Cricetulus griseus: one gene and its partners. The protein of the gene in region 7 interacts with the protein of the main gene of each other region in a pairwise test. Links are inferred from orthologs where the notes say so. Each region holds a gene or a part of one and is shown on either strand. Other genes may lie near its edges. The genes, in order: Bfsp2, Ppfia1, Mcm7, Ndel1, Epb41l3, Rap1gds1 and Mbip.

Evidence for each region.
Region 1: the proteins of Mbip (region 7) and Bfsp2 interact in binary tests that used the Homo sapiens proteins (3 or more experiments, as listed by UniProt). The two-hybrid records come from large-scale screens. The link is inferred for Cricetulus griseus from reciprocal best matches to the Homo sapiens genes MBIP and BFSP2.
Region 2: the proteins of Mbip (region 7) and Ppfia1 interact in binary tests that used the Homo sapiens proteins (3 or more experiments, as listed by UniProt). The two-hybrid records come from large-scale screens. The link is inferred for Cricetulus griseus from reciprocal best matches to the Homo sapiens genes MBIP and PPFIA1.
Region 3: the proteins of Mbip (region 7) and Mcm7 interact in binary tests that used the Homo sapiens proteins (3 or more experiments, as listed by UniProt). The two-hybrid records come from large-scale screens. The link is inferred for Cricetulus griseus from reciprocal best matches to the Homo sapiens genes MBIP and MCM7.
Region 4: the proteins of Mbip (region 7) and Ndel1 interact in binary tests that used the Homo sapiens proteins (3 or more experiments, as listed by UniProt). The two-hybrid records come from large-scale screens. The link is inferred for Cricetulus griseus from reciprocal best matches to the Homo sapiens genes MBIP and NDEL1.
Region 5: the proteins of Mbip (region 7) and Epb41l3 interact in a two-hybrid assay, tested with the Homo sapiens proteins (2 studies listed by BioGRID). The two-hybrid records come from large-scale screens. The link is inferred for Cricetulus griseus from reciprocal best matches to the Homo sapiens genes MBIP and EPB41L3.
Region 6: the proteins of Mbip (region 7) and Rap1gds1 interact in binary tests that used the Homo sapiens proteins (3 or more experiments, as listed by UniProt). The two-hybrid records come from large-scale screens. The link is inferred for Cricetulus griseus from reciprocal best matches to the Homo sapiens genes MBIP and RAP1GDS1.

The regions. Positions count from the first base shown.
Region 1 is NC_048597.1:211,682,711-211,686,611, reverse strand, and holds part of Bfsp2 (phakinin), read left to right. Parts: intron 1-2,585; coding exon 2,586-2,717; intron 2,718-3,901.
Region 2 is NC_048596.1:56,882,895-56,886,035, reverse strand, and holds part of Ppfia1 (liprin-alpha-1), read right to left. Parts: intron 2,115-3,141; coding exon 1,949-2,114; intron 169-1,948; coding exon 110-168; 3' UTR 98-109; intron 1-97. UniProt on the Homo sapiens protein: May regulate the disassembly of focal adhesions. May localize receptor-like tyrosine phosphatases type 2A at specific sites on the plasma membrane, possibly regulating their interaction with the extracellular environment and their association with substrates.
Region 3 is NC_048597.1:116,885,604-116,888,524, forward strand, and holds the end of Mcm7 (DNA replication licensing factor MCM7), read left to right. Parts: coding exon 1-11; intron 12-553; coding exon 554-722; intron 723-816; exon of another isoform or gene 817-897; intron 898-1,035; exon of another isoform or gene 1,036-1,116; intron 1,117-1,233; exon of another isoform or gene 1,234-1,332; intron 1,333-1,480; coding exon 1,481-1,590; intron 1,591-1,759; coding exon 1,760-1,961; 3' UTR 1,962-2,111; downstream 2,112-2,921. UniProt on the Homo sapiens protein: Acts as a component of the MCM2-7 complex (MCM complex) which is the replicative helicase essential for 'once per cell cycle' DNA replication initiation and elongation in eukaryotic cells.
Region 4 is NC_048600.1:82,758,828-82,763,239, forward strand, and holds the start of Ndel1 (nuclear distribution protein nudE-like 1), read right to left. Parts: upstream 2,981-4,412; 5' UTR 2,850-2,980; intron 1-2,849. UniProt on the Homo sapiens protein: Required for organization of the cellular microtubule array and microtubule anchoring at the centrosome. May regulate microtubule organization at least in part by targeting the microtubule severing protein KATNA1 to the centrosome.
Region 5 is NC_048595.1:457,934,658-457,939,041, reverse strand, and holds the start of Epb41l3 (band 4.1-like protein 3), read right to left. Parts: upstream 3,182-4,384; coding exon 2,990-3,181; intron 1-2,989. UniProt on the Homo sapiens protein: Tumor suppressor that inhibits cell proliferation and promotes apoptosis. Modulates the activity of protein arginine N-methyltransferases, including PRMT3 and PRMT5.
Region 6 is NW_023276806.1:20,491,102-20,495,708, reverse strand, and holds the start of Rap1gds1 (rap1 GTPase-GDP dissociation stimulator 1), read right to left. Parts: upstream 2,819-4,607; 5' UTR 2,617-2,818; coding exon 2,613-2,616; intron 1-2,612. UniProt on the Homo sapiens protein: Acts as a GEF (guanine nucleotide exchange factor) for the Rho family of small GTP-binding proteins (G proteins) that stimulates the dissociation of GDP to enable subsequent binding of GTP.
Region 7 is NC_048598.1:146,084,714-146,089,348, reverse strand, and holds the start of Mbip (MAP3K12-binding inhibitory protein 1), read right to left. Parts: upstream 3,082-4,635; 5' UTR 3,019-3,081; coding exon 2,890-3,018; intron 1-2,889. UniProt on the Homo sapiens protein: Inhibits the MAP3K12 activity to induce the activation of the JNK/SAPK pathway. Component of the ATAC complex, a complex with histone acetyltransferase activity on histones H3 and H4.

The DNA of each region.
Region 1 (3,901 bases), on a different chromosome or scaffold from region 7:
TCCATGGACCAAGCATCCCTGAGACTGAGCAATGCAGACTCCCAAGCTCCATTCGGGGTCTCCCGCATCACAGCCTCCATTTTCAAATTCCCGGGTGATACTGAAGCCTATTAATGTATTAAAATGAGGTGATCCAAGAAAATCTGAGGGAGGCACCTCCAAGTATCAAAGGTCTTAAGTCAACAGGCTGGCAGAGACAGCTGCATTAACAGGGCTGAAAGCATGTCGTGGGTATACAGCTGCTTCAGACTCTCAGAGGTCACATGATCATGAGCAAATTGCTTAGGCTCCATTTCCTTGTATCAACTGAGGATAATAATGACATGTAATTTCACAAAGTTGTAAAGAGACCGTGAGATAATGGACTTAGAGTTATCCATGGCATAGAATAAGAGCCTAATGCATATTAATTACTCATAGTAATAGCAGTAGCTGTTGTTGTATTCAACACATAGTGGATTTTGCAAACTCATTTCTTGGTAGTTATTACTTTTTTGTGCTAGCGAAGATCAAACCCAAGACTTTGTACATTCTAGGCAAGTGCCTTCCCTTTGAGCTACAGCCCCATTTATATATAAAAACGATAGGGGTGACTCAGCAGGTGGTACTTCTGTCAAACTTTACCCCTCCAAGTCCAATCCCCAGAGCTCACATGGTATAGAGTCTCCCAAAGATTAGTGTTCCTGCTACTGATGGGAGCATCTTGGTGGGGGCTTCTTAGGCAGACAATTAGGTTGGAAGATTCTGTGCATGCCTCTGTAAATGTTCATACATGGCTCCAAATGACCCTTTCAAGAAGGTAGGAATCTGCAGAGAAAACAGAGGCTTCCTCAACCTTTCTGCTTACAGCATTGGCTCAGAGACAACCACATCAGAAGATACTGAAAAAGAAAAAAAAAAAGAAAGAAAGAAAAGAAAAAAGAGGGTGGCCTCATTTTATCATCCACCAGCAGGGGACCTGCTCCCCAGAATGCATTAGGAGGAATCAGAGCCCACCTATCGCCCTCCAGAAAAAGAGGTTCAGAACACAGACTGCCCCCTTATAGTCACAATTGCATCTGTACTGGTTTGTACAACGTAAAGGGGACTGGGGCCAGAGAGATGGCCCAGCAGGTGAAGGCACTTGCCACCAAGCCTGGTGACCTGAGTTCAGTCCCTGGAGCCCACATGGTAGAAGGAAAACTGGCTCCTGTAGAATGTCCTCTGACCATCACATGAGCCATGAAACACATACCCAAATGAGCCACAGCAGGTGTCCACTCACACAAATATGCCCCCCCACATACAAATATATAAAGGGATTTTTTTTTTTAATTTTAAAGGAGAGAAGGACTGTCAGCTGTAGAGATCCAGATAGAAAACTTGTGGCAGGAGAGATGGCTTGGCAGTTAAGAGCACTTGTTGCTCTTGCAGAGGACCCAGGCACATTTCCCAGGTACATGTTGGTTCACAGCCATTGGTAACTCCATTTTCAGGGGATTCAATACTGTCTTCTGACCTCCACGGGCATCAAGCATGCACATGGTACTCATACTTATATGCCAGAAAAACACACATAAAAATAAAATGAATAAATGTAACCCCTTGTGTGAGGACAGTGTGGGGACCTGGTACTGTCTCCCAGTGTTGAAAGAGTTACAAATCTCCAAAGGATAATTTGTGAGTATCCTAAGTTCCGGGCAGGTGTGTCATCTCACCACTTGGAGGCTGAAGCAGGAAGACTGAGAGTTCAGGGGTACATGAGAAGATCCTGTCTTTACCTACATACATAGTTTGTCTAAAGTATGTATCCCTCGGAGATGCCCTCTTGGATGGAAAAATGAAGCATCAAGGGTTATTTTTTGAAATAGGGAAAATCTGGACACAATTGAAGTGTCCACCAATAGGGAATTTCTAAATGAATCATAGTACCTCCAATCAAGGCAATGCTATGTAGCTGCTCGAAGACTACAATCACCCAGCAGAAACCGGTTTCTAACATATAGGAAGTACTGTAGCAAACAAGAGAAGACAGTAACTACTATGTATTTACAAATGCAACTGTGCACTAAAAACGGATGTCATGGTCAATGACAGATTAAATATGCAACATTGGGCCTGTGAGATTTCATTGCCTAGTGATATCACAGCCACCTTCACTTGTGTGGGCACATTTCTGCAATGTTCACATAACAGCAAAAATACCCTTACAGATCTCAGACACGCTCCATGCCATTAATCAGTGCATGAAATATTTCTGAAAGGAGATATAAGAAACTAGAAACAGGAAAACGGTGTGATTAGACCATAGGGAGGAAAGGAGGGAGAGAGAGGAGAGAGTGTGTGCTCAGATCGAACCCAGGTTCACATGCATACTAAGCAAGTATTTACCACTGAGCTAAGCCTTTAGTACATCTTTTGAATGTTATTTTAGTTGTAGGCATCAAAGGTTCAAAACAGTTTTTGGTATATGAATTGGTTAGCAGGTTTATAAAAAGGTGTATGTTTTTAGTGTGGCAGAGAGTCAGTTTAGAAGGGGCCAAGGAGAAAGGGTGGGTTCAGGATTTTAACTCATCCCGCTCACCCTAAGACCTGACTCTTTACAGCAACAGACAGAAGTGGCCCATGTATCTCAGACCCAAGAAGAAAAGCTGGCCGCTGCCCTCAGCGTAGAGTTACACGACGCTTCATGCCAAGTCCAAAGTCTCCAGGCTGAGATGGAATCTTTACGAGCTCTGGTGAGTGTGCCAAAAAAAAAAAAAAAAAAAAAAAAAAAAAAAAAAAAAAAAAAAAAAGGCCTTGACGGTTTTATGTTTAACTCTCAACTGTCAGTCTGAAGTTTCACAGTTCATACTTCACAAAGGGCTTCCTTCTCACAGGGTGTGGTTTGGCGCCTGAAGTGTCTTCTGACCTCTGAGGATTACCAGATACTGACTCAGACCTAACAAGTATGGTGGACACAGCAGGGCCTGTAGAAATACCCCTTGCCTGCCACTGCTGAGAATGCCAGTCGGCCGCTAACACTTGCAGCTGCCCTGTCTCAGCTGCCCCGTTTCTTCAGACAATTGCCATCAGCCAAACAGAGGACTCCTGATCCAAGAAGTCAGGCCATGCCCCTGCCCCAGACAGTGACAGACTGATGTTTTTGAAAGCCCAGCCTGCTAACTTCACAGTGGAAACAGCTGTACAGAGCTCTCCATAGGATCAGGCAGGAGCTAGTTTTCAGAGAGGCTACTTCCTTGCTTAGCATCATCCCTGCCCTGTCTCCTTTGTCCTGATCAATCCCTCTTTTCCTGACAGTAATCCTGCAATTGGGTATAAGCTCCAGGATCCTTGCCTCAACCTCAAACACCTAGTAAGCTCAGACTCACTGTGGTTTGCAAGCAGGTGCTTGGAAACTACTAATTATTAGTAATTAAAATAATTACAGTCAGCCCTCTGTATCCATGGTTTCTCCATCTGTGGATTCAATCAACTTTGGACTGGAAATATTCAGGAAAAACATTGCACCTGCTCTGCATTTGCGCAGCCTTTATTTCTTATCATTGTTCCCTAAACAACAGCCCGGTCATCTATAGAGCTGTACATTGTATCACATAAAAGTCATCTAGAGATACTTCACTGAGATTTAAGGAAATATGCAGGAGGATTGGGTCAGTTATATGTGCATATTATATCACTTTTCTGTAAGAGATTTGCATCTGTCAGTTTAGGTATGCACAGCATCCTGAAACCACCTGACACAAGCTCCTAAGTAGACTGAATTAAGCTCCACCTTTCGGTCTGGGTGGGACTGAACTCTATTGAGATATGACATCTCCTTCAACATTCTAACTACAAAGCATTGTTGGACCCTGTGTGAGTGTGAGTGTGTGTGTGTGTGTGTGTGTGTGTGTGTGCGCGCGCGCGCGCGCGCGCGAGC
Region 2 (3,141 bases), on a different chromosome or scaffold from region 7:
TGGCTCTCATGGTCCAAAGTTGCCAAAGCCAGGTGGACATGAAGTGCCCCACCTGCGCTGTACTGGGGACATCTGGGAACAGCAGCTCTCTACTCACCAGCAGGAGGCTCTAGCAGGAGTAAGTCCTGACTGTGGCAGAGTCCAGCCTCTGTGCTCCGGACACACTACCTGTTTCCACAGCCATGGAAGGAAGCGTGCAAACACATCATGCAGTTAGTGTTAAACATCACACAAGGGGACAAAAAAGATATTACACACCTGACAAGACTTCCCAAGTGATAGGAGGATAGCCTGCTGTGGGAAGGGGCCAGTCAAGATCACCAAGGTGGTGGTCAGGAGGCTACTTTTCAGGGCCCAGGAACTGGCAGCTAACTCAGAAACAGCAATGGGCAAGCAACACAAACACAACATCAGTCATCCATGTACATGAGTGACAACTATGAAAGAAACCACCATGTTTCTCTTGAGACTACACCACGAGTCTTTTGCCAGAATATTGCACCTCCAAGAAGCCAGAGGTATATGTACCCCAGCCCCAAGAAACTCCTAAGGCAGACGGCTCCATGAAAGAGCAGGATGACCAAGACAGTGGCTTCTCTTAGGAAACCAATATTCAGACTCAGTTTCCATTAGAAACCATGGAAACTGCTGAACTGATGATTATTATTTAACAAATTGCCAGCACGGCTTAAGATGGGCCTGTGTACAGAGAGGAGGCTAAGTTCTCATAGCCACATCCTCAGAGCCACTGGGACAGCTGACTTAAGGGGAAATGCTTGCCATGTACACTGCATCTATCTCACCTTCCCTCCTCAAAAGAAGACCTCAGCACAGCTGGTGGCCATGTGAGAGGAGAGAAAGCCACGTCCACACCCTAGACTCCTACAGCTCTTTCCAGGCTGCCTTTTCTCTAAGCTCCCATTCTTAAAGCATTAGTGCTTGACTAAGAAGTATGGTTCAGAACAAGGAAAGCCTGTATGCGCCCATTTAGCCAGAGCCAGGCTGGCATACTGGCTCTCATGAAGTTGCTGACTGGACCTTCCCCTGTAAGCACAATACTGAACCATGGCCAAACCAGCCAGAGCTTTCTACCTTATGTGCTTTCTAGGAGTCCAGCCCAGCAAAGCTTTGCTCATGTCCCTGTCTCTGGTTTGTGCAGTGAGAGCAAGAATCCCAGCAGACCAGCAGCTAACCCACCACCTGCACCAGCAAGGAGGTGCACCCTGACTGACAGGGCTCAGGTTTGGCTGCTTCAAGTATACAATTATTGATTATCAAAACTTCCTCAGGAATGCATGGCACAGCCTGAGGACTTGCTCAAGAACAAGCCTGCTCAAGGTCATGTGTCCTCTAGCAGCAAGGTCCTAGGCAAACCTCATCTGACTTTTGTTACCTCCCAGAAGCTTTGGGTCCACTGTGTCAGCTGTGTCTGCCATTTCTGACTGGAACATTTAATAGACCCAACTAGTTCCAGACCATTTCCCCTGTCCTATAACAGGGGCATGTGTGGCTAACAAATAGCAGAAAAAGATGGAAACTGCACTATTTACAATTTACTTGGGCCAGGTGTTGTGGCTTATGTCTATAATTCCTCCAGCATTAGAGAAGCTGAGGCAGGAGGTTTACTGTGAATCTGAAGATGCCCTAGGTTACTACAGTAAGACCCTGTCTCAGGAGCAGGCTCTGTGGTCAGGGCTTTGGCAAAGTGACATACAGCAAGTGCACCTGTGCTGCCTGTCAGGTCTGATCTCACAGTATGGGTTCTACCCCGTCCCCCAAACAGACAGGATTTTCTTAGTTTCTGTTACTTTGGTTAATCTTGAGGAAACAACGTTAGGGGGTTAACTGAACAACAAATACACCTGAGCATGCAGCCTCACTCCAACGCCCCAGGTGCAGCCAGTGTGCACACTTCCCACACGTGGTGGTTGTAGGACCCACCACATACCATCCATTTGAACCTTCTTTGGCTGCATAGAGGGAGATGACATAGAGGAGGTGACCCGGAAGTTGGCAGGCAATGTCTCTGCAGAGCCAGAGGCCAGGCCTCGGATGTCCTTTGGTCTGAACTTCTTTCTCCATGAAGGTGCTCTCCTGAAGCTTTTATCATCATCCTGGCAAACCAAGGAGACAAGTGCCAACTGACAGTAAAAGTGGGCACCCAGCCAGGTCTGTGCTCTTCAGATGTTGCTGGACTCTGGCTTGTATGTAGCTAACCTTCCTGTTGACAGCACAACTGCCTGCCTAGTCCAGCTCTGCAGCAGAAAAGGACTGTGGAGACACTCCTCTGGCCACAGATGGAGAACTGAGGCCAGTCCTGGGCTGTGGCCCTTTTCATGCCTCACTGGTCATTCAAAAACCACCTCACACATGTCCTAGAATAGAAGTGGAGGAGACAAACTTTGTCCCCTGGAGAAGGGGAAAGGGTCACCATCCCCTGAGCAAATTAAGAATACGGGAAGAGGGGGGAGGAAGCTACAAAAGTGAGAAGGGAAGAAAAAGAAGGATGCAGAGGTCATGAGGAAGCAGAAATTTTGAGTCAGGTGTAGATTAGAAGAAAGGACATATGACAGGTAGGATTTTAGTTGGGGGAGTGGTAGAGGAGGAAGGGAGGGAGAAGGGAACTGGGATTGTCATGTAATTCAATCTTGTTTGTAATTCAAATTAAAAACAAACAAACAAACAAACAGCCACCTCACAAATGGGATGTCCAGACTAGGACCCAGGCAACAAAACCTCTTCAGAGACAGCTTCTGCTCTCTTTATCAAACTAGAGTTCTGTTCAAGGCCCAACAACAATAATCCTTACATGTGATGTCGTGGGGTTTGAGAGGGAAGAAATAACAGTTTTGAACAACATAATTCTCAGACACATCTTTCCCCAAAACACAGAGGCTCTGGGTTGGGACAGAATGACCAGTGATTCCCAGAATACAAGACACAGACACTGCTTCTGGGCTTCATCCAGTTTTATGACTTGACAACCATTTATGAGACATCAAAATCAACAGGAAGCCAGGCATATTGGGTACACTTGCAACCCCAGTTCTTCGAAGACACAATGCTGCAAGTTCAAGGTCACCTTTAGCTATATAGTAAGACAAGAGCCTTTCTCAAAACAAAAAAACAAAAAAAACCTTT
Region 3 (2,921 bases), on a different chromosome or scaffold from region 7:
AAGCTTATGAGGTAGGGGTAGGGAGTGAACCCAGGTCTCAACTTTGTAGCCTAGCCATACAAGGCAGAGGGCATCATCAGAAGTTTTTTTTCTAGTTTGGGATGATAGAGCAGCAGGCTCTAATCCTAGCTACTGTGGAAACAGGAGATCTTTAGAGGTCTGTTGGGAATGTTGCCATAATTACCCCCTTCCCCATACATAGAAGAACCTTCCTTCCTCACCATCATCCTGACCTAGCGGTGAGGCAGGTACATCTTGATCATGTGTGGTACTGTGGCATAGATATCTCAGTGATCTTCAAGTCTCTAAATTGGTTTCACCTGGTCTTCCCTTTGTGACAAGTTCAGAGGGGTTAGGTCATCCCAGTGCAGGTGTAGTGCAAATTAATTTTCCTGAAAAGTTGCAAATTACTTGAGCACTGGCAGCCCTGTTTTGGAGGAGTCCCTCAGTGATGCCCAAGCAAGTAGCTGTCCACTTCCTGCATAGAATATTAAGTAGGGAATCTATAAAGCACGCCTGTGTTCTGCTTTCCCACAAGCCTTGTTTCCCACAGACGGTACATAGCCATGTGCCGAGAGAGGCAGCCTACCGTGCCTGAATCTCTGGCTGACTACATCACAGCAGCATATGTAGAGATGAGGCGAGAGGCCCGGGCCAGTAAGGATGCCACCTATACTTCTGCCCGGACCCTACTGGCCATTCTTCGACTTTCTACTGCTCTGGTGAGTGCTGTGTCCTGTCAGCTGGAAGGCTGACCCTTGCCTGCCACCTCACCTTAATGGCCCTCAGGCTGCCTCTTCCTCCCTCCCACTAGCCCTGCTGGGGCTAAAGTGCTGACAGTGCAGATAGTGGTCCTCTCTGTGCTACCGCACTGTGGGTACTTGCTGCTCCAGCAGGGCACATACAACACCCATGGAGGGAAAGGCTGCTTGCTACTTAAATCCAAGAGGGGCAGATGGACTTGTTGAATTCCTGATGTCCTAGATATATGGTCTTAGATATCTCCATTCTGTCCTTCCCTCTTGGACCTTAGTCATGGGGGCTCCAAAGTGCTGTTCGTGCAGGTAGTGTAATTACCTGACCTACTGCTGAGCTAGCACTTCCCGAGCCCCCAGGACACAACCTCTCTGACAATGACCCTAGCTGAGCTCCCCAGGCCCCATTTGTCATGATGGGGAACCTAGTGGAGTTCAGAAGGGTCTGGTCTCCCTCACAGGACAGCTGAACACCTACCGGGACTGGCCAGTGTTGAGAGGCGGAGACTTGGGCAATTGCTGGAAGCTGCCCTGGGCATTGCACTTGTCTCGGTCTGACAGTGCCGGCCCAACACTGCAGATTGGGGGAGGGGGCAGGGAGGAGTCCCCATTTTTTTAAGTGGGCAAACATGGCTTGCCACCCTTGAAGCTGGAGCAGTGAAGACCTTTGACTTCATCCCCTTTCTCCCCTCCTATCCCCATCTTTTTCTTGCCTTCCCCCTTAGGCTCGCCTCCGTATGGTGGACATTGTGGAAAAAGAAGATGTAAATGAAGCCATAAGGTTGATGGAGATGTCAAAGGACTCACTTCTAGGTGAAAAGGGACAAACAGCTAGGTGAGTGTCTTAATGAAGATGAAATTGGGGCACTTGACTTTATTGAGCTGGTCATAAGTTTTGTGGCTTCTGCACCCAAACATACAAGTTTGACCTCAGGATTTTGATTCTGATTGCTATTCTGTTTGCTTAGCCCTGCACACTGACATTTTCCATCTATGTGTTTCAGGACCCAGAGGCCAGCAGATGTGATATTTGCCACAGTTCGTGAATTGGTCTCAGGGGGACGAAGTGTCCGGTTTTCTGAGGCTGAGCAGCGCTGCATATCACGTGGTTTCACACCAGCCCAATTCCAGGCAGCTCTGGATGAATATGAGGAGCTAAATGTCTGGCAGGTCAATACTTCTCGGACACGCATCACTTTTGTCTGATGACCAGCTTTGAGGTTCACCCTTTGTCTGACGACCAGCTTTTAAGGCCCTGCTGCGCACCCCATAGCATTTGCTGGATGCCCCAAAGGAACAGATCGAATTTTCCCATACTGCACTTTTTTGTTTGTTAATAAAATGTTTTGACTTTGGGCCTGGCTTCTGTTAAGATAGCATTTTTTGGGGAATGGGCAAACACTACTAATTCCAATGTAAGTTTCTATTCTACCTTGCCACATTTAAGAGCTAGGGTGTGGCAAGGACTTAATAGAGCCTTCTCCCCTGGTATGTATGAAGCACTGAGCCTTACTGTGTGCTAATCAATACAGTGCCAGGATCAGGGCCTAGGGCCCACTTTTTTTTTGAGACAGGGTTTCTCTGTGTAGTTTTGGAGCCTGTCCTGGTACTCGCTCTGGATACCAGGCTGGCCCCAAACTCATAGAGATCTGCCTGCCTCTGCCTCCCGAGTGCTGGGATTAAAGGCATGCACCACCAATGCCCAGCTCCCACTCATTTCTTGAAATATTTCCATTGTAGACATTCTTTTTAATTCCCACCTCTTGAGAGGGTGGTGAAATAGGAGATGGAGGATGGCACAAGAAATGACTTCAGTGGAAGTTTCACAGATGGGCTGAAGTAGAGACTCAAAGAAATTGTTCCTCTTGGTACTTTTCACTTCCATGGGACCAAGGGTTTACGTTATCCATAATTACAAGATAGGCTCTTTATCCCTCCCGTTCAGAGACTGGAAAAGCAGTCATTTGTCATTTCTGTGGGTTGGCCTATGTAAATTGCTACCACAGAACTAGAAGCAAACAGGCAGTCCTACCACATTCTGCCTATCTAGACAAGGGGTTACCTCAAGTCATTAAAAGGTGGGTAGGCAGTGGAGACGTAGTGGTGAGTAGATTCTGCCTCTGAGCAGGGCTGCTTTGAGGATTCCAAGTTTGAGAAACCAGTGTG
Region 4 (4,412 bases), on a different chromosome or scaffold from region 7:
AAGGCTCCTGAGTTAGGGTTTCTAGCTGCTTCAGAACGCAAGAGGAATGGGAAAACAGGAAGATGTATTGGAGGTAGTGCATTTACAGGGCATTTAGAGCAGTGGTTCTCCACCTTCCTAATGCCCAGATCCTTTAATACAGTTCCTCATGCTGTGATGACCCCAAACCATAAAACTATTTCCCTTACTACTTCATGACTCTAATTTTGCTGTGATTAATCATAATATAAATGTTTGTATGTTCTGATGGCCTTAGGCGACCCCTGCAAAAGGGTCATGACCCACAGGTTGAGAACCACCAATTTAGATACAGACTTCACAGTCTAGGTAGCAGGCAAACCAAAGCATTTGCCTCACCCCTGCCCAACAGCAGAAGGTGAGAAGACCCAGAAGAAGTTAGATTACTTCACCACAAAAAAGGAGGTTCAGGGAGAAAGGACACCTCCAAGGCCATGATGTCTCAGCCCCTGCCTTGGGTGACCCCGCAAAATGCTGGCAACCTCTCTTACACCCTCCATGCAGGTGGCCAGAGAATCTTTTTTTTTTTTTTTTTTTTTTTTTTTTTTTTAAGAAGAAAGGATTTACTTGGGCCTCACAGTTGGAGGGTACAGTCCATGCTGGCGAGGAAGGGATGGCGGCAGCAGCATGAGGCAGCTGAAGGGAATTCTTCAGTGGGTCTCCTGACCACACAGCCTCATCCAGATATGAGCACACTACACACAGGCCAGGCCCAATAGCTGGAAAGTACACACACACACACACACACACACACACACACACGATTACTAAATAAAGAAAAACCTGAGGCAACTATCAATTCCAGGAGCAAAAAGTAAAACAAAAAAGGAACATTATCACCATTATCTGTGTTGTAACTAAAAAAAAAAAAAAAAAAAAAGGCAGCCCAAGAGAGAAAGATGAGATGCCACAGAGTTCAATGGAGGGAAAGGGACCATTAAAGGGAAAGGGGTGGGGAAACCAGCCTCTGGGGAGCAAGCAAAGAGAAGCAGAAAGGGAGAGAGAGAAAGAGAGGAGGATGGGAGATAGACAGGGTCCTTTTTAAGGGAACATAGTGAATATGCACAGGTGGTGCTCTTAGTAGCTGCAGCTGAGGGTGTGTCTGGTCAGGACCCCAAGGGCAGGCCAGTACGGATTCCTGAATACTAACAATCACCATCCTCACAGTTGAGAGTACAGCAGCAACGTAAACAAATTATCTTATTGGGAGGATGGAAACAATAATATGGGTAGCTGATAAATGACTTCTGTACCCTTGCCTTTTATTAACAGAAAACTAAAAAATAGCCACATAGGCCAGATGTGGTAGCACATGCCTTTAATCCCAGCACAGAGACAGAGGAATATCCGTGAGTTTGAGATCAGCCTGGTCTACATAGCAAGTTCCAGACCATCCAGGACTATGCAGTGAAGCTGTGTCTAAGAAAGGAAGGAGGGAAGGAAGGAAGGAAGGAAGGAAAGAAGGAAGGAAGGAAGGAAGGAAGGAAGGAAGGAAGGAAGGAGCAGAAAAGGAAAGGAGAGAAGGAGGGAAGTTACAGGACAGTAAATAGAATTCAACATTAAAAATTGTACTGAAAGTATGTCAATTGGGTGTGATGGCTCATGCCTATACTCCTAGCTCTGGTGTGTGTAGCCAGGAAAACAGGAGTTCAAGGTCATCCTCAGCTATACAGTGAGTTCCAGCTGGCCTATGCTACATAAAAATCTGTCTCTGAAACAAAATGTGTATGTTGAAGCCAGGTGAGAGTGCTGAAAGTGGGTGCGGCGGTGCACACCTAGAAACCTTGCACTCAGAAGTCAGAGGCGGGAAAATCGAGACAGATTCAAGGCCAACCTGTTCTGCATAGAAAATTCTAGATCAAACAAGACTTTATAGACTTGAGACCCTGAATCAAATGGGGGCTGGGGACCTGGAGATGGCTAAATGGTTAAGAGCACTTGCTGATCTTGCAGAGAACTGGCTTTGGTTCCCAGAATCCACATGGAGGATCGATCACACTGTCTTTTAACTCCAGTTACAGGGTGTCTGGCTTCTAAGGGCACCCACAGTTGTGTGCACATACCCACGCACAGACATACACATAAAAATAGATAAATTTTAAGTTTATATGTCAAAGTGCTCATATTTAGGTGTTTACTTATGCAAAGATTTTCAGTGTACTGAACTGTACTGTTTTGATATTTACCAAGTAAAACATTATCATGAAAAAGTATGTCTAGTTTTCTTTAGAAAATGAAATAAAGATAGCCCCAAGCCTTGAAAAATACAACCTTACAATCTAGGAAACATTTTCACAACCATTTTTCTATAAGCTCTACACAAATCTAAACAAAATAAAGATACTTTGCCATCTGTAGACAAGAAAACAGATTGAAAGAAGCAACTATCCCATAAGCAGTTAAGCAGTTTAGAAGTACACAATATCTCAACACAAGCCCCTCACTTGTTCAGTCCAGCATGACACCAGAGCCTCACCCTGATTGTGTCTTCATCAGCTCCAGGTAAACCTGTCTGAACCCAAAGAGCTGCCCAGCCCCTGAAGAAATGCTAGCAGGCAGCCCAGGAAACAGAAACCAAATCAAGGTAATCAGAATCCAGAAGATGGAAGATACTGTGCTTTCAGAAAAATTCACTGTAGCAAACTCCCAGTGTCACCTGCCACTAGGGACATAATGACTTTACAAACTAACTTCAGCCTTTGACCACCATATGGGCAGAAAGAATCCTCAGACTCCAGAAGCCTCCACTCTGCTCTCTCTCGGGGTAGGCCCAGGCTCCCACCCATTCGCTTCCCCTCACCCCAACTCCCCAAAGTCACATCACAAGGCACCTGGTCGCAGGTCCTCAGCTGATCTGGTTCACAGCAGCACGTGGGGGCCACCCGGGGACCAGCTGGAACAAAACAGAAGTCAACAGGAAGAATGAGACTCAATCATGCCTAACAAGAGAGACTCTGGGACAGGAAGTGGGTTTGAGCCAGGAAGGCTGGGGCCTGCTGTCAAGAAGTGAGGTAACCCTGCCAGCCTTGTTACTCAGCTAGAGTTGAGCAAGACCTCAGAGCTTGGGAAAGGGAGTAAAATGCCAGTCATAGCTTCGCAGTCAGAGCTTCAGGGCTCCCCAGCTCTACTGCATGTGTGCGAGCAGCTGGTTGTCTTCTCCCCCACTTTCTTGTCTCTGTCCCTGAATTTGGGAGGGGAGAGTCAACTGAAGGAACGGCTGTCAGTGCTTTTATCTCTATGCCAGTGCAATGCTGAGCCCGGTGAAGCACATAGTATACTATGTGAGAGCTCAAATTAGGTAGGGCTGGGTGTGGCTCAATGGTAGACCACTTGCCTAACCTGTGTAGGGCCCTGGGTTCTGTGCTCACTACTGAAAATCAAAGCAAACCACAGAGAGAGGAGAGGAGAGGAGACAATCTTTAAAGTCAGGTAGCTTAGACTTTGCATTGCTAAGTCTCATGTTCCTCCCTCCCTCCCATGAATTGCAGGTAATACCAGTACCGACGCCTGGTGTTGTGACTTAAATGGGATAATGTGTATAACTGGCACCATATAAGTCCCAAGATCCAGTGAGTCCCTTGGGCTGTCAGTATTGTCCCTTCTCTGCCTTTCCAAGGCTGGTCCATTCTCTAAGCTTTTATCGGATCACGTGGGCCCATCCACGTCACTTGACTCCACAGTGACTCCGTGCCAATTAGTCTTACGAAATAGAACAGGAACCACTGATAAGAGTGGGCTCTGATAACATAGTCAAGTTACTGGCTGGTTATGTTTAGCCTATAAATGTCCATCTAATGAAAAACAAACAATGCCCTATCAGCAGTTAAGGACACAAAACAAGCCGCTTCACTGAAAAGTCCTTTCCCATGAGGGTGTCTTACTTCCCAAAGTTACCCAAGGAAAGCAGGAGCTGTGCATATTCGCCTCTCTGTGCCTAGGAGGAGCCAGCAAGTACCGGAAGTCAGTCTATACAAATCCGTGGATCGTGTCCATCCGATGGAAACATTGCCCCTGTTTAAAGCTGTTTTTGGTCAACCCAGCCCAGGCCTACTGCATGAGAACCGGCCCCAATATAACATGGTTCCACAGACAGGTAGTCAGACTCTAGAATTACACAGAGAGCAATTTATTGTAGGACTTGCTAAGGGAAGTGTAGTCTTGAGTGGCAGTAAAACAGATGATAGCCCACAACCTGGGTCAGAGAGAGGAGTGCACTTATGGGTTGGGACAAAAGTGACTTCACCATGGCTGGACTGTACCCAGTTTATCTTAATATCAAAGAGTCGGATGCATTCCTGGGGTCAGGGTCTGGTTGTACAAAGCCCCATATTTGACTCTAATTATTTTTATCTATTTGTGGTTTGTTGGGAGACTATACAGGAAAAACCAGCTGG
Region 5 (4,384 bases), on a different chromosome or scaffold from region 7:
ATATATATATATATATATATTCCCAACAAACCCCAAACCTAAAGTGGTGAATGGTTGTACTTCAATGTATGTATTCTAAATACTGATTCAGGAGGAATCCAAGTTAGCTGCTTAGGTTAAAATAACTAAATAAAAAAAATGATGGAATGGCCAATTTGAAAAGCCAAGGTAATTGAGAAAGTAAACTTCAACAAGTCAATAAACTAAAGAAAACTCATTTTGACAACTCAGTCCTACTATTTTGACTGTATTAAAGCATCAAAATGGTCAATGCAAGAAATCTATAAAACATCATTAATCTGGCCTTGACATAGTTTAGGGAGAAGTACAGTAATCCTGAAATTATGAGCCATGATATATCTTAATTAATACATTATAATTTATATATGATCCCAACATATTTAAATTGTCTCGTTACTGGAAAAGTCAACTGAAGCTACTTTTAACTTAAATTTTGCTGTGAATCACCGTTTTTCTATATACTGCAAGAGATGAGACTGTTTGCCCACCACTAAAAGTATCTGTATGAAAACAAACTTTCTGGCTTAGTTAAACATCAACTGCAAATGATGTCGTTAGGCAACCATCGTTCAAGGACAGATCTTTCTGGAACACATGAAACCGGTATCTACCACCGTGGCTTTTAGAAGCCACGTGTGGAAAAGCAGACCAAGTGTCTCAGGTGAACTGCCAATTAGAGTCATGTGATGCATGGCTGTCAATCATTTTAGCAAATATGTGGTGATCTCTTTCTTGCACAAATAAAGCCTGTCTGGGGGTCAGAGAATGGAGCTTGCCACTAGCTAACCATGGAGGCCTGGAGGTCTGTACAGACAGACAGGAAGTGATGCAGCTGGGCAGAAACAGGATATAACAGGGAGAAACAGGAACTCGCTCTCTTCTCTGCTGAGACACTTAGGAGGTGAGGTGTGCTGTGACTTGCTCCTTCTCTCTGATCTCTCAGCATTTCCCTCTATCTCTGACTCCGGCTTTTTATTATATAGACCAATTGAGAGCTCCATTTACACAAATCTTCCACTCCACGCAATCCTCCTCATTGCTCTGACGTGTAGGTACTACAAACCTCAGTTATAAATGAAGAGCCACAGGACCAGGGGGCTAGGAAACTTCCCAAAAGGTCATAAAATTAAAATCCAGCCACATTTTAATCATCATCCTATGACCAAATAGAAGACCTTCAGAGAGAATCGTTGTTGTTAACATTTTGTAAAGGTGAACGTGAGGACCAAAGGCCAGAAAGAGTCTTCCAAAGCAGACCAATGTTGCCGTGAGACAGGATTTACTCAGTTGTCTGTCCTGTGCAACCAGGCACATTTCCCTCTGCAGATTCAGTATCATATCCATTGTTGGTGTCAAACATTTGACTATGGAAGACAAAGTACAGTCATGGCCCATGTAACACCACACAGACCACATATATGACGGTGGCCTCTTAAGACATGAGGCTGGATTGGTTAGAAGGGCTTCGGGGAAAGTTGGGCAGGGAAGTTAGGGGCCAGAAGTGAATGATTCATTGCACATATGTATGAAATTCTCAAGAATAAAGAAAAATCTGTGTAAACACATAATTCAACTGCTTCGTGATACAGTTGCCATTGTGAAATTCAAAACACTACACAGCTCAGGTGTCTGTGATGGTCTGTATTATCAGACACACAAAAGTACAGCCGAGACACTTATGTATATAGCACATCATAGCTGATCATAATAAATTGTTATATTATTGGCTTGTGGGTTTACTATAATACACTTTTTAAACCATATTACAGTGTGGTGTTCCCGCTTATAAAAATGTTTACTACGGAACACAGTAAGCTGTTATGACAGCTGCAGTACACACCGCAGGTTTGCCAAGTCTCTTGACTGCATGGTTTCCTTCATTCTTTAAATTTATTTATTATACACACTTATTTATGTGCATGAGTGCTTTGCCTTCATGGATGTATATGCAGTACATGGGTGCCTGGTGCCTGCAGAAGTCAGGAAAAGGATTACCATCCCCTGGAACTGTTCCAGAGGGTGTGAGCAACGGCTTGCATTCTGGGAACCGAACCCAGGTGTTCTGCAAGAGCAGCCAGTGCTCTGAATCTGTCCAGCCCCATTCATGCTACCTAAAAACCGGAACTTGCAAATGTCATGTGACCACAGTAACATACCCCGCCTCATAAACAAGTGTTCAGGGTCGTAACGTGCTGTAATGGAGTTTTCTGCCCAAGGCTAACTTTATAACCATTCACTCAACATGTGCTAAAATTTCTGACTATGCAAACCCTTTGGAACACGAGGTCAGTCGCTCCTCTGGCTCCAGATCCCTTTATCATGCACAAGAAAGCCGTCTAAAGCACCAGGGTTTGAAGTTTCCAGACTATACTGGCTCATCTGGTCATCATCGTACTTTATTCTTTTGATTTTATCTACATATTTATACTTATTGATCTTTATTTTCTTGATAGTAGTGGGGATGGAACCAAACCTCCATAGGCTAAATAGGTAGCTCCACTGCTGTGTTCCAACTCACAAAGGGCAGAAGTAATCGCTTCCCACATCCCCGAACATGCATAAGGAACAGCAATGACCCTACAAATGTATACCAGGGGAGGAGTTCCGCCACAAATAAAGAGTCGCTGAAAGTATATGACCATGCTTGGGTCAGAATAATGGCTGGGAAAAACAGCGAGAGGCATAGTGGGGCTGCCAGCTGTTGTCTGCCCTTATGGTAAACTCAGATCTAGGCAGAATCGTCTGTCAGTAGTTCAGCTGAGTGTTAACAGCTTTAATCAAAGGCAGGAGGTACCAGTCAAGGCTGTGGGGTGCCCCTGACTGAAAGCCTTCAACAGTGACACCACTGACCCTTTGGGTGAGAGGGCAAAAGCAGGTGACCTTCAGAGTTGCACTTAGGGCTGGGAGGAAGCAGCACAGCTCAGCCAGGTCCCCTGACTGACCCTCCCCAGCGATGTTCCAGGCTCACCTCCCTCTTCACCGGGGTGCTATGTGCAGCAGCTGCAGGGAACTGCTCTAGCGCTGGCGGGTCCTCACTGCTTCCGCTGGCAGGCTCTGGTCCAGGCTGTGCCCCTGGCTGTCCCTGAGGCCCTGCTGCCTCCTGGGGCTCAGCCTCCTGGTCTGGCTTGGATTCTGAGTCTGATCCTGATTCGGTCGTCATGGTTGATTGTTCTGCAAGCAGAAAGAGAGGCAAGGACCTGTCAGTAGCTGTGATTATCTTCCAGGAGATCTAGTATGAAAGGGAGGAGGAGGGAGAGGGGCGCCCCGGCCAAGCACAGTCCTACACTGCACACCAGAGAGGCGCTGTGTAGAGAATGGTGCTCACAGTGCTCACAGTGGCTCAAAGCAGACGTGTAACACAGTGAGGTCATCTGAGAGTAGGAACCTCACTTAAGACAATGTCTTCATAACACTAGGCTACAGGCAAGTCTGAAGGGTATATTCTGAATTGGTATATTCTGAATTAGTGACTGATGGAGGAGGGTATGGCCCATTGTGGGTGGGGCCATCCCTGGGCTGCTGGTCCTGGGTTCTGTAAGAAAGCAGGCTGAGCAAGCCATGAGGAGCAAGCCAATAAGTGGCTCCCCTCCATGCCCTGTGCACCAGCTCCTGCCTCCAGGTTCCTGCCTTGTTTGAGTTCCTGTCCTGACTTCCTTCAGTGATGAACAGTGATGTGGAAATGTAAGCCAAAGAAACCCTTTCACCCCCAACCTGCTTTTGGTCATGGTGTTTCATAGCAATTAAAACCCTAAGTGGGACAAACACACACTAGAGATTAATCTGTCATAATCAACAGGGTTTCTTCATAATAGATGGTGGCCACAAGTGAAATTTTAAAATCATTGCTAATTAGGGTAGCGGATGAGGAGTATGTGTTTGCTGAGTATGTATATTCTAAGACCTGTGAAGGATGACTTTCAAGATTAGATATCCCACAGGCTTCTCAACTCTGCACCAAGGACTCTCCCACCCCCAAATCTACGGATTTTTCTAGCAATAGCAAATGTCTTTCTTACTGGTTTTCACCCAGTTCTGCTATTTCCTTTTGAACTGAAATATACAAATGCAGCAAGCGTCACACCGTCAGCATCTGTCCTGTGATTGAAGGGCAGCTTGTATCTCCCCTCCCTCCCACATCTTTCCTGGCTCCCTCCTGCCTGTGAACACTGAAGGATACCTCAGTCTCACATCTCACAAGAAATTCAAGCAAAGACCTTCCTGAGTAATAGGCTGCCCCACCCTAAAAATACCACCCAAAACTACCACCTTCTAACAGAGTGCTAAAGCAGACCAGCATTTTGTGCCTCAGTTTCCACGGGGGCCATATGAGAAGGCTGAACATGTTCAAACCCAAATAATAATT
Region 6 (4,607 bases), on a different chromosome or scaffold from region 7:
TTCATGTTAAAATAAAAATGATTTTATGTTACTGTTTGAGACAGGATAACTTTTCTTTTTAATCCAGCTAGGCAGCCCAGGCTGGCTTCAAACATGGCTTGACTCTCCTGCCTCAGCCTTTCCCCCAATGTGGTGGGATTATAGACACGTGCTATTACACCTGCTACTTAGACATTAATTACTATACAGTTATTTGTGGATCAGATAGGTCCTAAGATTGTGGAAACCTGAAGTATGGCTGTCTTACTCATCTTTCTCCCCCCACAGTACACTTCATTGGGTTGATTTTCAATTTTGGATTATAGTAACATATACACATAAACTAACAGCTGTCTGCAAGGCTAGGTAGAAAACTGCCTTTGTTTCTGATGGAGAAATGTCACTGCCATAAAAATATCCTTTAAGGGTTCCACTTGGGACTCAAACATGTCCAAGGCCCTGGCTCAATCCCCAGGACCACAAAAATGAAACAGACTATCTTTAAAATAGATATACCTTATTTATTTCTTTAAAAGACAGAGTAAAAAGTAATTTCCCTACCATTAACTAGTGTACCTTAGGAGTTGTTATAACTTCAATGGCTCAGATAAGGCCTTACAACTGGACTTTTCTGCTCCAGTGTCATCTATACCTCCGAGTCTACCAATCCATGTATTCAGGGCCTACATTTTCAAGTCGAAGAGCAAGAAGTAAATGACAGTATTGAGAATAATTTGATGAAATTTTACTCAGCACCTACTATGTGAAAAGTACTAGAAGAGATGCAAAAATTAAGACATAAAATTCATCTTCTTAAATTCAAGACTAAATGTACAAAAGATATAAATAACCCCATTAGAGACTATGTAAGTGCTAAGCAAGAAAGAAAGAAAGAAAGAAAGAAAGAAAGAAAGAAAGAAAACTCTAACAAGGTACCCCAAGTGCTAGGAGGAGGGGGCAGAAAAGTTTCTGAGAAGCTTCAAAATAAGATGTGTTTCTATTTGGCTTCTTCTCATATCTTTAATTTTAACCAAGCAACACCATTCAAGATTTGCAAGATTACTAAATAACTTAATCTGTTTAGGGCATTTTTATTCCCTAGTTTGCAATGGCCTTTGGATACTGATTGACTATTTTAAGTGCTTAGTTAAAATGAGTTTTAACTGAATCTCACCTTAAAAAAAAACACGTGACTTTCTTTTCTACACTAAACCTATACCTGTAATTCAAACCCTTTGAACAGTGAGATTGTAATCTGTAATCTGGATTAGTATTCATTACAAATGCTATTTCTAGAGAAAGGGACGTATACATGGGACGACCCTGTTTTTACAAAAATTTGTTTCAAGTATCAGTAGTATTCAATTAGAAGAAAACGAGTGAACATAAAATTCAGGGTCTTTTTTTTTTTTCGGTCATACCTCCTCCTCCTCTTCCAAACGTTTTCTTCCTACTGAAGCATCAAAGGTCTGACTCAAAGCTCCAGGCATTTGCTCTTCCGGGAAACTCTAACACATCATTTCTAGATTCAGGTACTTCCTTGAGCATTCAGAATTGCCAGGGCCTTGGCCCTAGCAAGCGTGGAGCACGGTACTGACAGGTGAAAGGACTCGTGGATAACTTGCACCGCAGTGGGGAGAGTCGAGTGGAGAGGGACGCCAAGGCAGCCGAGTTTAAACAGAGGAAATCGAGACAGACGAGAGTGGACGCAAACGGGGGACGCGTGCCGAGTTGTTACTACAAAGGAAACTTTCCGCTCTTAATGACGGGCCGTTTTGAATTCTACACAGGGGAGCGGGATCTGATGGCAACTTCAGGTTCAAACAGATACCGTTCTATCAAACATTTGCCTTCAAACACGCGATCTCCCGGGATGAACTAAAAGCAATGGAACTAGACTCAAGATTGTGCAGCTCTGGGCAGGGGGAGCGGGGAAAGGAATTAGCAGCAGCGTGCGAATTCCGTAAATGGGGTCCAATGGGTCGAGGTGTTAGCTTCCTGCCACCGCGGCCACCGCCGGAGCACCGGAGCCAGCCGTGCACACCCCGGGCGCCCAACACCAACCAATTCAACAGCTAGCGGCTCCCGCCGGCCTCGCGTGGCCCACGGCCGTCCCCTCCCTCTCCTCCCTCCCCGCCGCCGCCACCGCCGCCGCTGTCCCTCTCGCTGCAAGTCCCCTGCTCGCCCTGGCGAACAACTTGCCGGCTCGCCCCGCGCCGGCGCCGGCTGCGGCGAGGCTGGGGGAGAGGTCGCGCCCCCGGGGAGGAAGTTGCGCCGAGTGGCCGGGCTGGCGGTGGGACCGAGCGGGCGGCGGCGGCCTCGCAGCCCCGGGGACGCCCCGCGCGCCCGGCGCCCGGAGCCCGGCAGCCGGCGTGGAGGAGGGGAGGGGAGGCGCGGGGCCGGGCGAACCGGGCGAGCCGGCGGGCTCCGACCCCACCCCGCGCGCGACCCCGCCGGCCCGGGCTCCCCGGGGAGGGCCGCCGCCCGGCACCCCGAGGACCGGGGGAAGCCGGCAACTTTGCACGAGACAAAAAAAAAAAAAAAAAACCAAAAAATGCTCCGGCACCCTGCAGCAAGCAGCACGCTGAGGGGGGAAATGAAAATGTCAGGCGATGACGGCGGGGAGGACTTACCCATGGTCCTCCCACGGAGCGAGGACCGGCAGGGCGAGGCGAAGGGTTCGGGTTCGGGTTCGGGTTCGGGTGCGGGCGGGCGGCGTCCTCCCTCTACCTCCGCGTCTCCCGCAGCCAGGGAGGGACCCGCGGGGGGCGGCCCGGGGAGGAGCAGCGGCTGCAGCGGCTGCGGGGCGGCGCGGCCGCGGCGGGGACGAGCGGCGGGGGGCGGGGCGGGGGCGGGGCGGGGCTGGCGGCGCGCGGCTGGGAACCAGAGAGCGAGCCAGCGAGCGAGCGAGCGAGCGAGCGCCCTCCGGACGCGCGGCCGAGCGCCCCGCCCTCCCCGGCGAGCATGCTCAGTGGGGCCGGCTCTGCCTCCTGCCCACGGCCGGCGAGCCTGAGCGAGCCTGAGCTCGCTGGGGGGCGTGTGTCCGCCGAGCGGAGCCGGGCAGCCAGTTTGGCCGCTGTCCCCTGAAGGGCGGAGGTCAGGCTGAAGTCACCAGGCTGCGGGGGGGACACAGTCCGCCGCCCACTCCCCGGTCCCCCCCACCCCACCCCCGCCACGCCCCAGGGCAGAGTGCGAGCACCGAGCGGCGAGCGTGCAGGACGGGGCAGTGGACGCCCCAGGCGAGCACGTGCGGGGCGGAGGAGCGGGAGGATGCGGATGCCCGCGGGACCGTGTTCCCTCCCCCCCCCCCGAGGGAGCGCGTCAGGCCGCCCCGCAAGGAAAGCTAGCGGGAAAGTGGGTCAAGCGGGACGGCGGCCGCAAGGTCACGGCCTGCCCCCCGGGCGAGCGCGCGCCGAAAGCCCTTTAACGGGGCAGCCGTCGGGCCGGGCGAGCCCTCCGGGGTGTGTCCGCCGCTCTGGCGCTCAGCCGAGCCGGGAGGAAAGACGTGAAGTCAGAAAAATCACAAGTGCAGCTGCGGGCCGGGGTAGCCCGGTGGAGGATGAGCCGCCCGGGGACAGTGACCGAGGTGCTCCCATCGCGGGCACCCTCGCCACCAGGCCACCAGGCACGCGCGTGAGGCTCGGACCCCGGCTGGGCTCCCACTGCATGGAGAGGAGGCCTTGGGAGACCTGCGCTTGTCCCGACCCCCGTGTGGTTATTAGGACCTGGACTCTCTAGGATGAAGATAGCTGAACCCCGGTCTCTTTCCTCAAAAGGGGGTGTTTCTTCATCTGTGACTCCCCCAGACCAGTCTCTAATATTACATACAAAGCTCCAAAGAGCCTTTGGATATGTTAGGGCCTGGGATTTTATGTGATTTTCTGAAGAAAAAAAAAAAAAATTAAAGACAGGTGTGATCAATTTGCAGCCGCTCCAGCATCAAGTGATGTAGAAGTTAAGCACCCCTTTCTTGAAGAAAAACACCCTTATATTTGCCTCAAAATTCATCTTGCAAAAGCTCCCTAGGGCTGTTGTAATGATCACTTCACACGGGATTCGAACAAGGAAATTACTGAAATTCTGTAGGACAGAAGACAAATCAGGGCAGGGCTATATTCGTCTTTTGAGGGCGCGTCTTAACTTCCGGTAATTCTTTGCCTTGTGTAACTCCAGCTTTCACATATTCTCCCCGTGTGCTTACGAGTCCAACTTTATTTATAAGGACGCTGGTCATGTAGTATGGCCCTCAGTGTTTGCAATGACCTCATTTCTAAACAAGGTCACATTCTGATGTGGAGGGCCACAGTGAGGCCTTAAGCCCCCAAGTTCCCTGTGACAAACATACATGTCCCACATCCCACTGCTTTTTTTTTTTTTGTCTCCTTTTCAAACGCTTCCAAAAGACCACCCCAAACCTCTGTGTTGCTTCGCATCTTTGTCGTTTCTTCTTAATATTCGCAAATGTCTTCCAGATTCTCCATTTCAACTTGTTTTAATTTTTCTCTTACTTTCTTTGCTAATTATATATCACAGTAATTTCAGGGTATCTTCTAGCTTTCATTTGCATATATGAGTTGAAATTAGAAAAGCAGCTGTTTTTTGTCCTCCCACCTGGCATTGGTTTAGGC
Region 7 (4,635 bases):
TTCAAATCTAACCAATTTTTAAAAATACTTAAAACTCAAGATTATTCACACATAGTGATAGATGACAGTAACTAATTCAAATAATAATCAAAGTATTAGTTATGAAATTGTTGAGCTGAAAAACAAGTATGTTTCTACAGCAGTATAACAGATTGACAGAACTGTGTCCAGTGTGTTTACTAAGGATTTTTTTTTAGTAAAATATAAGTCTCATTACATGAAAATTTCTCATCACCTAGTGGTGATTATACCTAGAAAATTACACCTAGAAAATACCAAGAACCTGAATATAAAATTAATATCAAAATCAGTCAAAACTTTAGTGGGAGAGGAGAAGCTCCACCTGTAATCACTGACTGAGTATGAAGGAATCCCTATAAACTTTTCTAAGGACACCTATTGTATAAGTACATTGTATAAGTACATACCGCATAGTGGAAGGAAGTTAACTGTATTTTGCAAGAATAATTTATTGGCAACTAGTCATATTTTCCACAAAGTAAAGATACACGTTTCATGAATTCAACTATCAATCTAATGAGTTGTTAAAAATAAAAAACCAAAACGTGAATCACTGTCTACGGAACCAAAGAAATCCCAAGTTCCCAAAGTAAGCACTTTCGTGTACAATGGATACAAACATTTACTGCTGAGACCAGAACCATTTCAAGTCCTTATTTGACAGACATAAAGAAATATGAAATTTTACATAGACTATACTGGCAAAGATAAGCTTACAACTAAGTTAAGATTTGACATTAAGATTAATAAGATTACTGTATTTAATAATGTGTATGAAAGCAATCCATCAGCATGTGTTTACAGTTCTCCAAGAGACATACAGTTGACTATGGCAAATTTAAATGGCTTGAAGAATAAAAAAAACAAGTAATCTTTAAACCTGAGGAAAGCATCACATTCTTTAAAGAAAATAACTATAGAAAAGAAATCTTAATGGCTGGATAATATTCTATGTCAATTCAGCAGAATTATGTAAGTCTTCAAAGGCAACTCAAGATAGTTGGTCTTCCATGAAAAATCAAACAATAATGTCATAATTCAAAAATGACCCCCAAATACATCCAATTTTTCATTCAGCAAATTCCTTTATGCATTTTACCCCATAGCTCTTGACATTCAAATTTTTCTATTAATACACTAGATTAATCAGTTATGAATGTTCAGTAGAAACTAATACAAAAAAAAAAAAAAAAAAAAACAAGCTAACAAATCTTTAGCTTGATAACATGGGCCAATGAGAGGAAAGAAAAAAGGTTAATGTAAGTGTATTTTGCATTTGGAGAAAAAAATACTTTTTACAATTCAGTTTTATACTTTCTTTTGAAAAGCACTAATAATTCAATGATATTTACAATGAACTAATAATTACAATTTACATCTTAAAAATCCTTTTAATTTGTTGCAAAAGGACACAAGTTGCCTAGGGGCAACTTACATGTGTGTATGGCTTAAATCATAATCTCAAAATACACAATAATACTAAAACAGCATTTAATTGATTTAAAAAAAATCTTATATTGACACTTGTATAAAGGTCCCTTTAACTATGTTACATTTGTTGGCAGGTGGCATAAGTTAAGATTGAATCGTTTTTTCCATTTGAACCTTTGGTATAAATTTATATAACTTTGAAAAAATCAATATGCAGAATACTTTAGATGTTCAAATCATTTATCAATGTACATTATTTTTGCAACTTCTAAACACAAAGGCTGAGAATATTTTTCTCATCTGGACATTAGAATATTAATGATTAAGTCTTTAAGTTCCAAATCCATGCCAAAAAGTTCTTTGACTTTTGAACTATTTAAAGATCTGGAATATTATCACTGAAATGTTAATTTAAACAAAGTCTTTAAGACTTGGGAAAAAATTTACTAATGCTCATTAAACAATTGATTTTAAAGTTTTAATTTTAGAAGACCACTATTAACTGCCTCATAACACCGAACTGAATGTACAAATGAAAGTAGTTTGCCAGGCAAAATAAACGTACTAAGGTTTTAAAATTTTTACTAAAATAACTTTTTACAAGATCAATTATTCATCCATCTAAGGGTTTTAAAAATAATTCTCACAAATCAGGTAAATGCCCTATTGTCAGAGGTACCACATGCACTAGACCAGCCCCCAATCAAACTAGGAAACAGTTTGACATAAAATATTTTTAAAAGCAAGCAAACATACTTTTGCTCCTTATTAAAAATAAGCTTCATTATATCATGAATGGCTTTATCTAATAAAGTGAAGGAACCTCCTTTTTAAAATCCAGTTTTACTATGGCATTTCTGTAAGAGCGATTAGTTAATAGTCACACGACACTAGTAAAGACGGTAGAGCTGGTCATACATTCAAATCATCCAACAATTTACACTAAAATCTAGGCACATTACAAGTTAGTTATATTTTAGAAATTCTTACAGCCCCCCGCACCGTTTCAAAGGGTATGACAGATGCAAATAAATGATGAGAAACAAATAAAAACCCAGAGTAAATCACCCCCTAAAGAGTGGAGATGGAGGTAGGAAAAGTTTCAGGCCATACTAACCGACGAATTAAAACAGGGGAGGAAAAACCACAGTCAGCTCCAGGAGCCTCCTTAACCCTGCCATCTCTCATGCATTGATTTTCTGCAAGAGTTCGGCGCCAGGACCCGTGTTTCCTCTCGCCCTCGGTACTCACGCGTGGTCACCGAGTGTGCAGCCGGCCGCTCCCGGCCCCAGGCAACTGGGCTCCCGCTCCTCCCGGTCCCGGCGGCCGCGGCCTCGGCATCCTAGCCGCAGACGCGATGCGGGAGGACTCCGCGACGAGGGAGGACTCCGGAGAGAGGACCGGGATGCTCCCCACCCCCGCCGCACCTTCACTTACCTGCCCAGTCAGGGTGTGCAGGGAACGAAAGAGCTCGCAGAGCACCTCGCGGGTGAGAAGGGGGCTGGAGCTTCGCTCCAGGTTCCTCTCGCTGCAGCTTGAGGCACTGGGCTCCGCAGCAGCAGCCATGACACCTTCGCAGCAGCCCCCAAGCGCGGCCAAGACGGCTCGCCCCCTCCCCTCCCGCGCGGATTCCGTCGCGCTGAGATGACGTAAAACTACCGCGTCTTATTTGGATGTGAGGGTAGGCCCCACTCTCTCTATGTGACAGACAGGCACCGAGACCAATCAAGAGCAAGGCGTCTGAACTCGGAGGTTCTGTGTAGCGCAGGCGGACCCTCTGTTTGGTGATGTTTTGCGTGGGTGGCTATGGCTTAGAAGTCTACCTTGGCTCTTAGACGCTCCCCGTGAGTGCCGGAAGAGCCTTACTGTTAAGTGTTAGAAATTGAGTCCCTCTATTAAAATTTAAAATGTTAACATGGCGACTTGGAGTTGGGACAAGGTTGAGGGTCAGCGATGGAACGGGGCTCACGTGTCTGAATACTGGAAAATTCATACCCAGGATGATCATAACTGGATAGAACATTTTCATCTCTACAGGGTTGTTTGACGCGAAGAATGTAAGAAAAACTGAAAAGCCTACATTATGCCTCCTTTGTCAGGAAACGACATTGATGACTATAACTGTAAAATAGTTTGTCAAGTTTCTAATGCAACAGTTTCTCAGTGGACACTCAATGGACACTCAATCCTAAAATTGTTTCAAATAAATCCAATAGAACTTTAAACCAACTAATTTCATATTAGTCGAAATTGAGATAGAAAACTAAATCGACACTTGCCGGGTATTATTAGATAGCTTTATTATAACGAAAGAGTTATAATTTTATAATGTAGAATTCTGTTAAAATTTTAAAACAAGCTTAAGAGATAAGCTTGGTCTACTGACCATGTTGCAGGACAGCCAGGGCTAGTATACAGGAAGTAGAGGTATGGACCTAAAGTGTATTCTATAGAGTTGAGAAGAAGCTGAATGAAGGAAGAAATAAGGAACCAAGGGACACCGGGATAAGGATAGTAAAAATGAAAGCACTCCTTTGACCTGTCTCTACAGAGCCTTTTACTCAGTTATTTCCAAAGATGTCTGGGATCATCAGACATAGCAAGAAAGCTTGTCTGTGTCCTTGCTAGCAGTAAGATCTGAAGCCGGTAGAACACCTGTTTGGTGACAGAGATTGAAACTCAAATCAAGCAACCCTCTCATTCCAGTCACTTGTCCTTATAACTAAAAGAAATTCACAATTTGTTGTAATGTTAGCACATTTTTGTCTCTGATTCACTTGTTAATGGGGGATAATTGTAATGTGGAATCTAAGAGTCCTTGTTCTATACCAAGTAATGATCTTTGGATTTTTTAGGCAATAGAGGACTTTTATTACACATTTTGAGAGTGATTAAGGTACTGCCCATTCTTTTCTTTGTCATAACTGATTTTGAAACCCAAGCTTTTAGTTTCACAATTTTTTTAGTTGTGTGTGTGTGTGTGTGTGTGTGTGTGTGTGTGTGTGTAGGTGCCCAAAGAGATTAGAAGCAGGGGATATGAACAGCTAGCCAGGCATTGGTGTTGAGTCTCACACTTCAGTCCTCTACAAGAACAGTTGCATTCTTAACCACTGAACTGTCTCCCTCCCTCCCTGCCTGCCTCCCCTCCCTCTCCTCCTCTCTCCCTGCCTCCCTCCTTCCCTC